Drosophila melanogaster: one gene and its partners. The protein of the gene in region 3 purifies or fractionates together with the protein of the main gene of each other region. This does not show direct contact. Each region holds a gene or a part of one and is shown on either strand. Other genes may lie near its edges.

The links.
Region 1: the proteins of Tm1 (region 3) and stau purify together in Drosophila melanogaster (affinity purification with western blotting, with the first as the bait; one study listed by BioGRID). This does not show direct contact.
Region 2: the proteins of Tm1 (region 3) and GstS1 fractionate together in Drosophila melanogaster (co-fractionation; 2 studies listed by BioGRID). This does not show direct contact.

The regions. Positions count from the first base shown.
Region 1 is NT_033778.4:18,122,735-18,127,448, reverse strand, and holds the start of stau (staufen), read left to right. Parts: upstream 1-1,669; 5' UTR 1,670-1,894; intron 1,895-2,521; 5' UTR 2,522-2,570; coding exon 2,571-2,755; intron 2,756-3,575; exon of another isoform or gene 3,576-3,704; intron 3,705-4,586; coding exon 4,587-4,714. Other genes in the region: Spn55B (serpin 55B), read right to left, coding at 152-1,009. UniProt on the Drosophila melanogaster protein: RNA-binding protein which forms ribonucleoprotein complexes (RNPs) that play critical roles in the localization, translational repression and turnover of RNAs during embryogenesis, neurotransmission and neurogenesis.
Region 2 is NT_033778.4:17,093,457-17,101,195, reverse strand, and holds the start of GstS1 (glutathione S transferase S1), read left to right. Parts: upstream 1-1,694; 5' UTR 1,695-1,704; intron 1,705-2,889; exon of another isoform or gene 2,890-3,070; intron 3,071-3,660; exon of another isoform or gene 3,661-3,968; intron 3,969-4,218; exon of another isoform or gene 4,219-4,392; intron 4,393-6,135; 5' UTR 6,136-6,160; coding exon 6,161-6,431; intron 6,432-6,499; coding exon 6,500-6,679; intron 6,680-6,737; coding exon of another isoform or gene 6,738-6,746; coding exon 6,747-6,880; intron 6,881-6,967; coding exon 6,968-7,135; 3' UTR 7,136-7,739. UniProt on the Drosophila melanogaster protein: Conjugation of reduced glutathione to a wide number of exogenous and endogenous hydrophobic electrophiles. May be involved in the detoxification of metabolites produced during cellular division and morphogenesis.
Region 3 is NT_033777.3:15,279,752-15,284,572, forward strand, and holds the start of Tm1 (tropomyosin 1), read left to right. Parts: upstream 1-1,798; 5' UTR 1,799-1,852; exon of another isoform or gene 1,853-2,106; intron 2,107-4,821. UniProt on the Drosophila melanogaster protein: Tropomyosin, in association with the troponin complex, plays a central role in the calcium dependent regulation of muscle contraction.

The DNA.
Region 1 (4,714 bases), on a different chromosome or scaffold from region 3:
AAACTTCACCTTAAGCACGCAACATCAAATGGAGGTCAAGGAACTGTGTTATATAAAAACAAAAGCTGACCCCAAATGGAGCTTAATTGTGGCATAAATTGGGTGGAACAATCAACCCCCCCCACCCCCAAAAAAAAAAAATAATATGTACCTGCTTCAGTTTCTCGGCCAATTCCAGGGAGTAGTCCACCTTAAACTTGGGGAACTTGACATGGACCTCTTCCACGGTCAACTTGTCGGCCAAATCCACCAGGTTCACAGTCTTGAGCTTCTCGGCTAGGGCGTAAATACCTGTCCGCTCCTGCGGCAGCAGCACGAACATGGAGAGGTCAGAGTCCTGGTAGGGCATCTCCAGGGCAGTGCAGCCCAGATCTTCGAAGAAGCCATAGTTGAACTTGGCCTTCTGGTTCATGTAGTTGATTTTAACCTGCTCCTCCTCGCCCACCCAGAAGATATCCTCCTCGGTGCGCTCCTCGCTGAACTTGTGCGCCCAGCTGCCCTTGAAGTGGAGGGCATTGAGCAGGACCAGCCTGGTGTTGTCCGAGAACGAGTCCGCGCTGACCAGCTCCGTAATCTTGCCCTGAGTCTTGGCATTCACCCAGGCATTGATGGCCTGGGCGGCGGCATCGTTGAGCGCAAAGTTAATGGACTCCGCCTCCGAATGATACTGCTCCTTGATGGCCGACTGGTAGGCGGGCTTCAGCTGCTTGCCCTCCTGCACGTACAGCTTGTTGGCAACGCGCAGCAGGTTACTGTTGCGGTACTTCTCCAGCACAAACTGGAACGTTTGGGCCACCTCCGGCGGAAAGTTGGAGACGAAGTGCAGTGCCTTGGCGATCTCGTCGGCGGTTTCACCCTGCGATCCGGCAAAGGCCAGGGCAATGCAAGTTTGGATGGAGAAGGGCGAGAAGACGACGTTCTCCTTGAGCCCGCCAGCGCTCAAAAGCTGAAAAAGTTCGCTGGTGAAACGGGCACCTCCACGCGCAAATTCCAAATTGAAATCGAACATATTGACGGACTGAACTGAGTAATTGTGGGTGTGCTGCGTAATCGCGGAACTGCGTGTGCTTGCTCTCTGGTCTGCTGTCTACACCGGAATGCCTTAAATGCCATTCGGGGCCACAACAAAAGTGAAAACATCGGCCAGCCGGCGAATGAGTCACAGCCAAAATATTATCAAAACAATCGAAGCGAATTGGTGGCGTCATCATTTTCATGATCTAGCAACCTTGGGGGCATCCCCGGGTTCATCCCAAAAATAAAAGTAATAGGGCGTTCTTTAAATAGCCACTGTTTTTCAGTTTTTGTTTGTCTGATGATAAAATTCTTAAAAATATGTTTTTATTTTTAATATTATTTTGCAGTGTGACCTTAAGCATTGGCGCCTAAAAACGCTGGCTTTCTGTCCAACAAATACTAAAATACACTTGAACAGGAAAACGCATGCTGTTGTTTGTTGTTTGTAATTCAATCAATAAGCCTGTTAGTTAAATATTTCGTAATTACAGATTTAAATAATTTCGAATTAATATTTATGCCCTTTTTAAAGTTATCAATTTCGATAGGCATAAAATACCAGATCGACTATTGTGCAGCCCTGGCGCTTCTGCGCGCGCGCTTTCCAACACCGCCGTACGCAACCACCCCGCTTCCCGCTCGCCTAAAAGCCATTATTTTTCGAGTTTCATCCGCAGCCACAGTGCAAAATAGGTTTATCAATTTAATTTAAGTGTTAAAGTAGTTCTAAAGTGTTTTTTAAGTTGCGCAAACGATCGAGGCCAGCCCGCATGAATGGATGTGCATGTGTCCATCGATCGAACGGAGTATTTGCATTCAGTTGTTGTGATTTTCCCGTGACCATTGCGTACGAAAATCGTTTTGGGAGCGCAAGAAGGTGAGTTGCGTCTGCAGATCGTTATGCCACTCTCGTTTCGGATGCGGACTGGGAATCGGAATGGGGTTACGGAACGGAATGGAAGGGAAGGGAACAGAATCCATGGATGTGTGGATCTGGGTCTAGGTCTTGTTCTTGGTCTTGGTTTGGGTCTGGGTCCTTGAACCCCTGCACGGAATGCACGAAACCTGAATTGCGCACTGCAGCTGCATTTTATCCGATTTCACCAAGAACACACAGAGGCATAAGGCAACCGGAGGGCCGTAAGAACCAGAAAAGTGCAACCAGGAGTGGTTGCTTGGCATCGGCAACGAATCAGTCGATTTGAACCCTTCTACCCGCCGCCTGTCACAATTTGATTTAGGCCGATGTCGTCGCTTCAGTTGCATTTCTATGTATATATATATATATATACGCATATATGTATGCACACACATATGTATGTATGTATATAGGTAGATACGTGTGCACCATGTCCATTTGCATTTCGCATTTATATGCCCCGCATGCAGTTGCAACTTGTTTACGCACAATCGCCGCACAAAGAAACACCTCCAGGGCCCTTTGTGCGGACAGGGAAAACATTGTTTGTGTCCGTCTCATCCATGTTCCTTTTCCTCCTTGCAGCTGCGGTCGCTGGTTCATACGGGAGTCCTAAAGGTTACAGCTCAAGAAAATGCAGCACAACGTTCATGCCGCCCGGCCAGCGCCCCACATCCGAGCTGCGCACCATCACAGCCACAGCCATGCCCACATGCATCTGCATCCCGGCATGGAGCAGCACCTGGGCCCCAGTCTTCAGCAGCAACAGCAGCCGCCACCGCCGCCCCAGCAGCCTCCACATCGCGACCTCCACGCACGGTAAGCCATCTATGTCGTTGACGCTATCAGGAATAACAATTAAACCAGATAATGCTTCATCCTTCAGTCAAATAAGAGTAGTATCAGTTTATTAAATTGTGATACCTTTTGGAGTTCGGTTCCAATTTAGCAGTTCTAACTATGTTTGGAGTTAAACAAGATGGTACGCCTTGTTGGTTCAGTTTGTTTTCGGAAATGGTTATCATCCCCTTCATTCAATCGAAACTCCATGTAAACAAGAAGGGGTAACATGGGTTAAATAGGTTTTCCAAGTCTAGAAGAATTCCCATCTATCTATGTACAGGAAGGAACTTTTAGATAGGTGTGTTATTAATATGGGATAACATCTTATAGAGTTTCCTAATCTAGATCGAGATCTCAGTATAAATTGTTTAGGCAATAATGTACCACTAGCCACTGGTTGGATCTCATGGACTCAGTGTGAATCTCAGGTGAGGAAAATGTATCTCCCTGGCTTGGTTGGATCCTAGAGAGATTCCACATCGACTCGAAACGCCAGCTTGTCTGAGCTTTATGCGTTGCGGCAATTATGTTAATTCCTGTCACTGACAATTGGTGTGAGACTCATCATCCCATTTTCTCAACTCATAAATTATAATTTCAGTGGCTCTTTGTTCTTTCGCGCTCAGCATGACTTCCGCTCGATGATAACGGGTTTGCCCTGCCGACTGCGCTGCAATTATCCTTGACGTTCGCGAGTATCCTTCGGCTCGGCCTCCAGTAGTTCAGGCTCCTCGTATTGTCTACGATCATATGTTTCGCCAAACTCTCTGCAAACTGCTCATCCAGTTCCGCATTCAGTTGCGTTTTGCCTGCCGGTCGGATCGGGTCGCACATGAATTTATTACCGACGTTCGCTGATTCTAACGTACATTTGCGTACGATCTTTTAACGATCATGATAGACTTTCATCAGTGCCAAGTGAGAGGTGAAATATGCAAGAAGATTAAAGTTATAGAAACTGAAGCGGGATCTAATAAGTTCGCAAGACAATAAATTAAAGAACTCGTAAAGATAAGAGATGAGATTTTGCAAATGAAATCAAATCCTCTTAACCATATAACTTGCAAGTGAAAGGTACGAAAGGAATAAACTTCAGATATTACTACAGATTTGTATTAGCCTGAAATATGGATTATCACATTGCTCAGACTTGTTTTCAAAAAAGAGTGTCCATAAACATTAAGAGCATTCAATTAATTACCTTTCCCTTACGCAGGACATTTTTATCGCATATCAACTGATCCTAATCACAAATTGCCCATATCAATGTTAATTTGAAGGCTTGTTTCCGTACTGATTTAGCGATTATAAATTGCCAAAAATATTTCCTTGTCTTGTGAAATGTACGAGGCTGTAGGTAAAGGTCGCTAGAGTGCTCTCCTACCCTCGATCATTGGGAAAGGAAAGGTAGGGAGCGGTTGCAGGAGCAGGGTGTCGCAGTAGGTGCGTCTCAATTGAAACTGACAGTTGGCGAAAAATGACACGATGCGTAAGAGAATGCGGCTTTTGTGCTTTGTTAGGATTTTGTCCATTGTTCGGCGTGGTCGCTGTTGTCTGCTATTCCGCAGGAACAACAACATACGGCAGAGGGTTGGGGGGGGCCACGAAGCTTCTAGGACCTCTCTCGTTGGTGTTTTTGTTTTTCCCGTGCGCCAGTCGATGTACACTTTTGTCTCGATGGCCTCTATAATCCTCTTGGTGTGCATTGTTTGCTGATATAACCGCAGAAGCCAGCGCATCCGCCCCAGGAGCTCTTACTTGTGGCCATCGATTAACCAATTTGCTTGCTCTATCCTCCGTTTTGCAGTCTGAATCATCACCATCTCCACGCTCAGCAGCAGCAGCAGCAACAGACGTCGTCGAACCAAGCCGGCGCCGTCGCTGCGGCTGGGGCTGCCTATCACCACGGCAACATCAACAGCAACAGCGGCAGCA
Region 2 (7,739 bases), on a different chromosome or scaffold from region 3:
CCTAATTGGGCATTTAGCATCGTCACATGCAAGTTTCATTGTGTTTGACTTTGGCTACCTTTTAACCCGAGTGCAACAAAGGGTATATTGCTTTCGTGCTAGTCTTAAACAGCAATCTACACTTGGAGGTCTATCTAGTATTTTTTCAGTTGGGGGATCAACTCTACTTTTTTTCGTAATAACAATCGGGAAGTATTCGGTCGATCAATTTCTGATTCACTCTGTTATCTTCACCCACTCCACTGCTTATCGTCATTTATAATATTTGAATGGGTTTTAAAGCCACTTCTAACATTTATAAAGTATGGCAATCATAAACGGGTACATTTTCACACAACTACATCAAACTACTTTAACCAAAATCGAAGCTATGGGCGAATAATAGCTAAACAAATAGATACGTGGAAACCTTGAATTGGATAATACGATTTTCGCCCATCAGCAGAGTCAGCTAACAAAATAGAGTTTATGTATTTAGTCAGCCGATTACAAAGATAAAGGCACACAGAATAGTGGCTTTAATGGCTTAAAGTGGCGAAAACCACTCATTACCGACACGAGTCAGTACGAGTTTGAAGCAAAACAGCTTTGGAGCCAGCACTGATTCGGGCGAAAAGTGACAATTTTTTTGTGTATTTACTCAATTAAAATTGGAGTTTGATTTTCAGGTTTTGCACAGTTCATAATTTGTGGGCACGTGTTAATGAGACAGTTTTTGTAAGCGCATGCAGACGTTTCGTGTTCGCTTTGAATTTAGATTTCTTCACTAGCTGCCATTCGAGTTCACTTGCCAATTTCGGCACTTACATTGTTCGCTATTTATCGGTCTTTTGCCGCGCTTTAAGGTCACGGCTCACGCTGCGTATACGCAATGTGGACTTCAAGCGATCGCCCAATTGGAAAACATTCACCAACTCGCGCAACGTTCGCTCACCTGCGCATTTGAATTCGCACTGAAGGTGGAATTCGCAGTGCAGCAAGTGCGAGAATTATCGCCTCTCCCGATCTCACTGTTTCTCTCTCTTTCCATATAGCACCCGTCTATAACTTTTACCGCTGCCGCTCCCGCCGTCTGGTTTTAACTGTTCGCCCGCCGAGTGTTAGTTATAATTTTTTTATGCGCTCGCTTTTTTATTATTTAGATTGCTCTCGCGGGCTCGTCGGTTCCGTTCTGTGTCGCATTTTCCACAGCAAATTATTGTCATAATTCCGCCGCTCATTCTTCGTGCTGCTTACTATTCTTTTTTTTTTACTTATTCCTGGAGTGCAATTGCAGGCGGCATAAATTCTTAATTAGTGCAGGCCACACAGCAAATAATTTTATTTAATTGCAGCCATAGTCATGACCATAAAATAGTAAACTACTTTCAATCCATAAACGTTAAAATCATACATCTATGCACTTTATTGGAAAATATTTTATAGCACGTTGTTAGAACATAAAATTTTATAGCAAGCTTCAAAATGCATAATTGCAGAAAAAATCCATTAGGTTTAAACGTAAAATTTCTGCCTGTGCATAAAACTTAGTGGTCTTCGCCAAGAAAGAAACGAAAAAGAATGCGGAGAAAATTGGCGCACAACCAGGCAGTCTGGAAAACCTACTTCAAAAACAATAACGAATCGAAAATTTCCCTCACTAGCGAGCAGTGCGTCAAAAAAAACTTCGGACTTTTTTTTAAGTCTCAGTTAGAGTTATTCATGGTGAGTCCGCTGCGATTTGTCATATATTCTCCACCTGTTTCACTCGATTATGCACTCGTCAGCGTGTTCGAAATGTCTGTCTTATCGTGAACGATTGTCATATCTTATCAATCGAGGTCTGCTCACAATCGAAACCGCCAACGCAAAACGAAGAGCTGAATACGCGCCATCGCATTAAAGGCCACAAATCGGTCATTTTCTATGGATTTTCGCGTAATTCTACGAGAATTCTGGGCTCGATTTTGTGGGGGATTTTTGCTGTTTTCTTACTTGTGCACCGATTCGCTTATCTTTGCACATTTTCGAACGTACGCCGCCCAGCCAACACAAAAACACACAAATAGTGCCCGAATCGCATGGAATGCTTCTTTTCCAGCTGTGGGAGTCCCATGGCTGCGAAAAGCTGGTGAATTCGATTGCGTTTTATGGTAGTTATTTGGGTAGAAGCAAAGATTGTGTGGGTACAAGATGAAAATTGTAGGAGTCCCATCAATTCACAGTGAATAACACTTAATCAAGTTTTTTAATCAATTAATTCAATTTTATACTATTTTATGTCAAGTGCTAAGCAAACGGCAGTCATTTTCAGCTAATGATAAGATATGAGCTAAGACCTATTTAACTAAGTGTAACTGACCTTCTAACTTAATTTATGGCAATTAATAAATTTCATTAAATTTTGATACAAGTAAACCCAATTAACAAATCATATTTTCGCGCCAATATTCAAAATTTAAACTTACCACACTTTTCTAAGTCGAATTCGCCGCAATTCGAGCCACACTTTTCTAAGTCGAATTCGCCGCAATTCGAGCCACTAACAGCTAGCCAAGCACACAACCTAAATTAGTGCGGCTTCTAACCAACCTTTTTATTATCAAGTACCGCAACCATGCAAAGAGTTGCCAGAATGTTAATTTCGAACATTTACGTTACAAGTTGAATTTGTCATTCAAATGTTTAAATTTTTAAATGGAAATTTTGCCTTCAGCAAATATGCCTAAATTAACAGGTTTAATTAAAATAATTTTACTTATTTTACCGATATTTATAAATGCAATTAGAAAAGATATGAAAGAGCCCCCGTTAAGCTATTCAAAAACAAAACAATGTGCAACATGTTTTAAATGCTTAAATAATTTTAATTTGATATAATTCACAAGCGTTATACATTTTTTCCCTTAGACAACCCTATGAAGTGAACCTGATGCTTCCCACATAAGTAAACATCTTGGATGCACTCGAATTTCGTCGCCAGGCACCGCCAGTCTGGATCGAACTAAGCAAAGTCCAGAGCACCGCGATTGAGTATTGGGCGTTTCAAATTTCCTGGCTAATTTCTCACAATCAGTTAATGCTAACAAAAGTACTTATGCGGCGGATAGTTCCTAAGAATGTGGGAGTATGACTTTAAGATACGATAAACTTACTTAATGCAAATAGGAGTAAGATTGAAAGTTAATAATTAGTTTTAGGTACCCATAAGATGTTTTTTTCTTCGGCTCTCAAAATCTGCTTTATTTAGTTTTCGTTCTTTAAACTATGTATCTTTTAAGTGGGCAGTAAACAAGCTTCATCCACTAAAAGCCCAAACAAATATTTACTGCCTTTTTTTGCTACTATAATTGGTTTATTACTGAGCTGAGAACCTCTCCCAAAGAGATCTATTTAAATGCCGACTGAGAGATTTTAAGAACAGAGAGAGAGTTCCATTTTGTTTATGAAAAGCTAATTGCCAAATTGGGAAGCCAAAGCCTGCTGGAATATTGCATTCCATTTAAGAAAAGAGGGTAGGAAGAAGAAGAACTGGAAACGTGGCTAAATATGTTAACTAATTCATTAACTTCGTTTCCTTTTCAACGCCCACTGGAACTAGAATCAGAGAGAGAGAGAGAGAGAGAGAGAGAGAGAGAGAGAGAGAGCCAAACTTAAAATTAAAACACTACCTTTTTCCAGTTAACCGGCCGGCTTACACACACAGTCAAACGCCTGAAGCTTGAAAGAGAGTGTTTGCTTGATGAGAGCGGCAAGCGTATAAAAGCAGCGTCGCCGGCAGAAGAAAGTCAGTTGCAGTGCAGTCGTCGTGACGATCGGTTCAGTGATAGCTTCCCAGTGGCTGGAGAGAGTGAGAGTAGAGAGTAACGGAAAGAGAGTGCGAATCGAACCGAACGCTATTCCTTCGCCCACGATTTAAGTGAACGCTTATTAGCGAATTGAAGACCCGAGAGCCCCAGTGCCCAGCTGATTTCGTATTCTTTGTTGAGGTAAGCCAAGGAATCCCTGGAACCACCTCATTTCGTAGCACCTTAGTGATGTAATTACGCACCAAGATTTACCCTTGCCAAAAAGTGGAAAACGCTTTTGCGAACTTCGATGCCGAATGGTGTTCGTCTCGAATCGGTTCTAAAATTACACACAATGGTTTTTTGGCTTCGATTGATTTGATTTGATTTTTGGGTCAATCGATTCGAAATCGAAAAGTTTTGAACTCGTTTCGCAGAATCGCAGTTCGCGCGGATCTCTCGCCTCGCTCGCAAGCAAATATGTGAAGGACAACGACGTTAACCGATCAACTAGAAGCCCTCTTCTTCTGCCTCTTCAGAACCGATCAGATCGGAATAGAAATATAGAAACGACCATAGCACCTCCGTCGACTGTGGAGTGCGTGAACGTATTTCGAAGCGTGAGGTACTCGAACCGGAACCAACTTGAGTGTAGTGCATATTCGGGATCTTATCCAAACGCAGGCTTACATAACCCCTATTTTAATACCTTTTCAAAAAGGAATAATTGAAATTCAAAACAAAATTATTTAGCAACAAACAAACAATCAGTTATATTTTTGAACTGATATGCCTCGGGGCTAGGGGTCCCAGACTTTCAAATTCTAGTGATAACCCCCCCGATCGGCGAGTTCATCTGGAAATGTTGCCCATATGGGCCGGGTGCACGTGAATCTCTTCAGTGCCCATTGACGCACTTTGTGTGCCTCCACTGGGTCCTTGACCCGCTGTGATCCCTGCCCTTTCCCATGGATTGGATAATCTAGGTGTCATTATCTTCCCTAACCTTTTCCCACGATTAAAGTGAAACCATTTGCCACGATTTTAGTGCCGTAGTGCCAGATCAAAGAGCCAAAATAGATCAGAGAATCGAAATTTAATTAAATCATGACACCGAAACACCGAGACAGACCAAATTAAATTCAATTGAAGCTGTCATGGCAACAAGTGCCAGCAAAAAAAAGGAAGAGCACTACGGCGAAACCAGAAGATAACACCGAAAAGTCAAATCGATTGTTGCAATTTGAGACTCTCCGAAAGCGAAAATTGCAGCGGAAGAGGCGGCCAATCGGCCATTACTAAACGGTGATGGGGTTGGGGAGGGGATCCGAAGTCTTGGTGACTGACTGGGCGCCCTGCCAAAATGATGGCAAAGGCAGAGACACCATGATTCCTCAGCCAAATCGAACGAAAACGGGTTTACGCTCTACATGGACCCCATTGCACACTGAATCCGTTTATCCAGCGAGGCAAAAAGTGCCGACGACAATGGAAACAGGGGCGTAGTATCCGTACCTCCTCCGTCCTACGATTCTTCCAGCAGCGCCAACGCCCCAAAAGATATTGATTCCGACTTTTGCGCGATTCAGCGAAAAACATAAGGGGACCAAAAGTGGGCAGACGGGCGGAGGAGTGGTGTCTGTTTCTTTGATATGCGTGGGTGTGTTGTCTGTGCGGCAATCGATGCACTTCCGGTGGGTTCTATGGGGAAATACTCTTGCGTTTCAGTATATATCTACTATATATATTGCAATTTTATGGTAATTATATTTTCTGTCAACTTTTGCCTTGACTCCGCTTGATTTATTGCATTGTTCTTGAAGAATAGCCTCATAAGGCATGCAAGCAAACATGGCTTTCGAACTAGCGCAAAATTAGCTAGTAGCTTATAGAGTATATGTAGCTTACCCCCAACGGTTTTTATATCATTTGTTTAAACCACTTAAGAATATTCGTAGCCTTGTGGACACACTTTATCGTGGATCGTGGAAGTTATACGACACCGTAATATATCCTTATCACTCACGCATATTCTGGCCCACTTCAGCTAGAAACGTTTGGCGCGTTCGCCTTATCATAAAAATCAGGCTATCGACTGATTAACTGAGTTTAATAAGCCAGCAAACGTAAACAAAAACTACGAAAGTTCTGGAAAACTAACCAAGGCTATTTCAAAACGGCGTGAAATGGCTAGCACTCTAAATTATTGAAGTTTTCAACATATGTATATCTAATCTGATAGCCAAGAAAACATAATGGTTACCAACTTTCCATATACACCGTAATTTATTATTGATGAATATCAAATTATCGATAGTACTTCCCCGATAAGATTCTGTTAACACACATTGCTCTACTTTTCTATCAGGGAATTGCATTGAGAAAGCGCAGAGATGGCCGATGAAGCACAAGCACCACCAGCTGAGGGAGCACCACCAGCCGAGGGAGAGGCGCCACCACCCGCCGAGGGAGCCGAGGGTGCCGTCGAGGGCGGAGAGGCCGCTCCACCAGCAGAGCCCGCCGAGCCCATCAAGCACAGCTACACGCTCTTCTACTTCAACGTGAAGGCGTTGGCCGAGCCCCTGCGCTACCTGTTCGCCTACGGCAACCAGGAGTACGAGGATGTGCGCGTCACCCGCGACGAGTGGCCAGCCCTGAAGCCCAGTGAGTGCCATAGTCCATCATTGAGTGGTCAGTGGACTAACCATAATCTACTCTGTCTCATCCAATAGCCATGCCCATGGGACAGATGCCCGTGCTGGAGGTGGACGGCAAGCGTGTGCACCAGAGCATTTCGATGGCTCGATTCCTGGCCAAGACTGTCGGCCTGTGCGGCGCTACTCCGTGGGAGGATCTGCAGATCGACATTGTCGTTGACACCATCAATGACTTCCGTCTAAGTAGCGAACAATGTGTGCCTCAGTTTCATGTTCAGTGTCCTTGATTAACTCTGGAATTTTTAATGTATAGAAATTGCAGTCGTCTCGTACGAGCCGGAGGACGAGATTAAAGAGAAGAAGTTGGTCACCCTGAATGCGGAGGTCATTCCATTCTACCTGGAGAAGCTCGAGCAGACCGTCAAGGACAACGATGGTCACCTGGCTCTGGGCAAGGTGCGTGCTCAAATGAGAACTTGAAACCATACACTCGTTAATTTTGAATGAACAATACTAAGAACCATCGATTCCTTTCACCCACAGCTGACCTGGGCCGACGTCTACTTCGCAGGCATCACCGACTACATGAACTACATGGTCAAGCGCGATCTGTTGGAACCCTACCCAGCTCTGCGCGGAGTCGTGGATGCCGTCAACGCTTTGGAACCGATCAAGGCCTGGATCGAGAAGCGCCCCGTCACCGAGGTCTAAGTTCACCGAACAGGACTTGGGAGGATGGGAAAGCATTGCACAACCACTCAGACACAACCGCACCGCAGAAATGCACACCACCCACATCTGCACACATTTTGTTCCTTTTTGCGGAGGATCCGAGAGGACGGCGGATTTTCGCACGGGGTCATAAACGCGTAGGAGTTTAGCACGTATCACTATGGATAAATCGTATTTGTTCTTAATTTCTTGGTTATAATTCTCTTTGCATGGCGCTATATACATATTTCTATTGGGGTCCGGCAGCGGATCGCCGTTCGTTAGCTTCTTCTGAAATGATGAAAGATAATACTTATTGCACAGTTTATAATATTTTGGCTTACTTTTAGAACATACATTTAGCGCACCTATGCAGACATTTGCTGTACCTATATATATATATATATGCATAAAATACAAAAGCTACGAGTGGTTCATCTTATAGGCGTATTCTATTGCAATTTATTCAATGCGGAGGGCTCAATAAATATTTAAAACAACACCAGCTAAGGCTGAGAAACAATTACAAATTCTTATTTTGTTTTTTATACAACACGCCATCGCGGCCCCAGGAATTTTCTTCGTCTCATCCAGTTCCCTTTTA
Region 3 (4,821 bases):
ATTTTGGAATTATGAAAACTTTGGTTTTCCATAACTAACACATGTCAACGGGTCGGATTCGATGGCCATGATTTCGTTTTCGTATTTAGCAAGTTGCTCAGACTGTTTTGCTATTTTACAATGTTTTTCGACGTTTTCTCAAGGGTCTTTTCCATGTCTATGTCTTCTTTGTTTTTTTTTTTCTTTGTCTTTATAAATATATTGATCTAGTTTTCTTGCTTCGAAAACTTTTTGTTTTTAATGAATACAATTACGTCATTTTGTGGGTGTTGTTTGAGTTAATTTTAAAATTTTCATCAACCTCGGACTGGCAAATGTTCTCCAAGATAAGAGAACAACAAAAAATGGAATAAGTAAATACATATATGTATATATGTTGGGGCTATCAAATTGGCTTATATTTATAGGTTTATATTTAAAGACTTTAGTTGCATTCGAACATATAAGATCTCCAACAATTTTGTTGGCGATAAGATTAAAAGGGCGTGATCAACGAGTAAGCAAGCAATCTAGAAGGGCAAATATGCATATCACCAGATCGGAAACTCAACGATTATGGGGAAACTGAATTTCAACCGTTTTCACGTTTGCAATTTAAAAAAGCATGAATCATGGATGCATTTTCTTGCGAGACAGTTACAAAAAAACGTATACTTTCATATGTGACATTTATGATTGCCAGCAAAATGTTTTCCGTTCGCAGACATGACGTTGAAAAATCTATAGAAAGAGCTTTAATATATAGAGCAGAAAATAATAATCTGTAGACCTATGGGGGAAATACGTACGTATAACTACGTGAAACAAGATTTTTTGGCATATCAATAACTGAAAATTAAAAATAGAAGTTGAGAACATCAAAAAGCAAAACAAAACGATCCCCAAACCAATACACTCTCATCGGGAAAAGAGACACGATTGCCTAAGTATTGGATATATTTTGCAATGGGCAAAAACACTGGGTGAAAAGAGCTTTTCAAAATACGGGGAAATATTCAAAAATAGGCTGAAAGAAAGGCATTCGATTCGAAATGAGTGAGCATTACCCATACATGTGCAGCGAACAGGTGAAAGCACCAAGGAAAGGATCGGAAAAGAGAGGCAGAGAGAAAGCGGAGAGAGAGCGCAGGCGCCGGGCTTGAATGTGTGTGTATAAATTGTAACTGTATTTGAAATTCTGATCTTATGCTTTCCGTTACACTGGCAGAAATCGGATAGGAACATAAATTAAATATATTACGGGCTGAGGGGTAAAGAAATGTTGTACAGCTTTCTTAACTGGCATAGCCCATTTCACTTTGGAGTATTTTCTGAATGAAAAAAACATTTAATATAATTTATAAATGAATTTCAAAATTCAAATTTGTAATAACAAAAGTAGCATGAGTAAATGATGATAAATGATAAGTGCGACATAAATTTATAAATACATTAAATCAAAAGTGCATATTAAATGTCCTGATATTAGAAAGCATGCATGATTACATTAAATATGAGTATATAAATAAGAACAAATGCACCCCTTTGTTGATTTCGCGCAGTGTATAAGCTATTGTACCCCGGCCGAGCAATTTACCGATGCTCTTGGGGTAAATTGAGAGCCAAGTGCAGTTCCAAAGTAGGCGCAGACAGCAACAACATATGCTCGCTTTTGGCCGAAAAGTGCGCACTCTCGCACACAGATACTCACGCACACAGGCGCACTAGCGCGGCGGCTCACACGCACACACACCAGCGCAAGCCGCTCGAAATCGACCAAGCGGCGAGCATCGAACGTCAACATATTGAATAAATATTTTCAGTTGAACATCACAATCCGTTCAAGTCGCGGATAACTCCGAATAAAAGTTTTGTAAGTAAAAAGGAATACGTTATCGTTGATCAGTAAAAAATTATACAAAAAAAAATACAAAGATATCGCTGAATATTTCCACAAAAATACTTGTCGAGTGCTTCAAAAATAATTTTAACTGTGCTAGAATTCGATTCTTATTTAAAAAAAAGGATCGAACCAAAAAGTATAATTACATAACCACAACGTTGCTGCAATATCTAACTTAAAATCCACCAAAGTGCTGTGCAATTCTCAACCCTAATCATCCGCAAGTATTGAAAAAAATTGAAAATTTTCCCAGTTAGAATCGAAATAAACCCAAATAGAGGTTAAGCACCTTTGCAGATCGCGAAAAAAAAACTAAGAATAACGATTCTGGGGACCTTGTCAAGTTTGTCTGCTAACCGCAAGTTGCTATATAGGGTTTCAGCTAAACGTATTTCATGAGATATATAAACATGGTCAGTGGGAACTTCGAACGATCTTAGATTTTAGCGGCAGAAGTAAAGAATTAAGGCAAAAGGAGGATTATCGAGCTCTCTTTCCTCCTTTCAGAAACTAAAATTGTCATGTTGTATATGAGAAAGTAAGGGAATCATTCTTAAGATAAAGATCAATGAGATAGACTTCAAGATAGCTATCCTTGCTATGGAATGGTTTCCTGAATTATAATTTTCTTTAATCCAAAATGTTTAGGAATTCATTGAGCCTATTTTCCAAGTAACTGGGCAACACGCGCATTTACTTTGCAGTTTTGTATCTTTGAAATCTGATCCACGACCGCTGGCCCTAGCTGCCAAATGAATCTGAAGCGAACGTAGGCGAAATGCGCCAAGAATTTCCCAGAAAGCTCCCTTCCTCTCAGCTTAGTATTAAGTAATATCCGTGGAGAGGCTAGATATTCAACAGATGCCTCGGCTGTCCTATTTTTAGATACAATCCGTGTGTGCTACAGATACTAAACAGTGAAATAGAGAGCAGGAAAGCTGCTAGAGTATCGCCCAAGGCATTTGGCTAAAGAATCTATATGCATTAGACCCATTTGAACCAACGTGTGTATATATCGTACTCTAAGAATAGAAAATTCTGTATTCTGTATGATTAAATTCCGAATTTTCCATGCGATAATTTGTAAATTTTGTGTGGAAAGGTAGATCTTATAAGGTCGGATACAGATGGAAAATATCTGTAACTTGTAAACTAGGCAGAAAAGTAGGAATTGCGAGGTGCCAGTTCATAAGGATGGCTTGTTAGTTGGCCATAGTTAGTTAGATATAAAAAATGAGTTATACATATACGCATTTTGTTTCCTGAAATATTAACTTTGTTCCTAATGATAACGTCATTTCTTGATAAGGATGATCTTAATACTCATAAACCTCTTTGGTGTAGGCCCATTTTTCGATTATATATATGTCATTGCCGAAAGTTATAAGATGTCATGGGAATTTTGTGCTGAATCAACGCAAACATAACTCAATGTGTCACCTTAATCGACTTATGGCCCATACACATGCAGATTTATATATATATATATATGTATATCTGTGTGTTTTTTAAGCGAACAAAAAATTTGCCTCGATTGCGTTTTCATTAAAATTCAACGTTTTTTTTTTTTGGCTTTGGCTTTATTCGATTGGCGCTTTTTTCTCCAATGCCACTTCTCTTCGGCGGATCAGGCACAGGAATGTAAACAGAGTTTTTAAAAATAAATGCATGTTTAAGGCAGAACCACACAACAAATGACAGCGATGAGCCGTAATAAAGAATTAAAATTTCACGCGGCGAAATTCGAGTCAATTAGCCGCCGGCTGCACTCGGTTCGAGCCATGACAAATGTTGGTCAAGTGGGTTTCGTGTTGGCCAGGAAAGGCAAAGGGGGTGTCAATGGGCACCAAGGAGGGGCCAAAAAACCCACCAGCTGCGTTCACATTGAGTCAGAAGTCTGGAGCTGCTCGAGAAAAGGGGCAATAGCCCAGTGCAGCTGAGTGATTCATCTTGGGTTTTTAATTCGAGGATGGTAGCTACAGCATCTGCACTTTACTGATAAGAATGCAATTCCAAGATAAAGCGCACATTTGTAAATATAAATTGATTTGAGTAAACATATATGGCACCTAAGAGTATGCAATGATATATGTTAGTTAAAAAAATATATTAAATGAGCTTACTATCATTTCAAATCCTCATTCTACTTTCGAAGATTTAGAAGACTTTATCTATGCAGCAATTTCTTGGCCCAGATTGGAATCTACTGACACAATTTTGGCTGGTGACAGAACTCTCTATTCGAGAATGTACCCAGTTCGTCCAGCTTCGTTTGGCTCCACACCACGCGATCCGATGTGATCTGCATAAATAAACACCCTGCTTTCGGTGTTTCGAAGTATATCCCAGAAAATAAGGTTCAATTTTAGGTATTCTCGTTTAAATGATTTACTGTGACGAGATGAGAAAACACTCTCAAAGTTCAGAACATCAGCGAAAGAATCGGACAATAAAAGTCGTGAAGAGACGCCGTCGAAATATTAAATTCTCAATTTATCAGTTGGCTAAGCTCGAACAATGCGACTGACTGGCATCGAAAAGGGGGCCTTGGTTGTTTCGGTTTTGGCCAGGCCGAATAATTTATTGACTCTGCCACCTTTCGTCCAAAAATGGCTATCCATTATTGCAAAAAACTCGCTGTGTAGCTTGAAATGGAAGAAAGATCTGCCAGTTATTTTGATAACATGCAGATAAGATGGGAGCTTTAAAGTTATGAATTTAAATACATATATGTGCAGAAATCAGATTGCAGGATCCTCATGTAAATACACAAGTTATAAAATTGCTAAATTAATCATAAAATGCAAATGCATTTTCCATATAGTTTCACTTTCGCACAAGCCATGTTTGGACTTGAATACTACTCCCCTTGCACTTGCTGATTATCGCATAAATCTGCTAATTGCTTTATTGGCTTGCACTTAACCATGGTTTTAGCC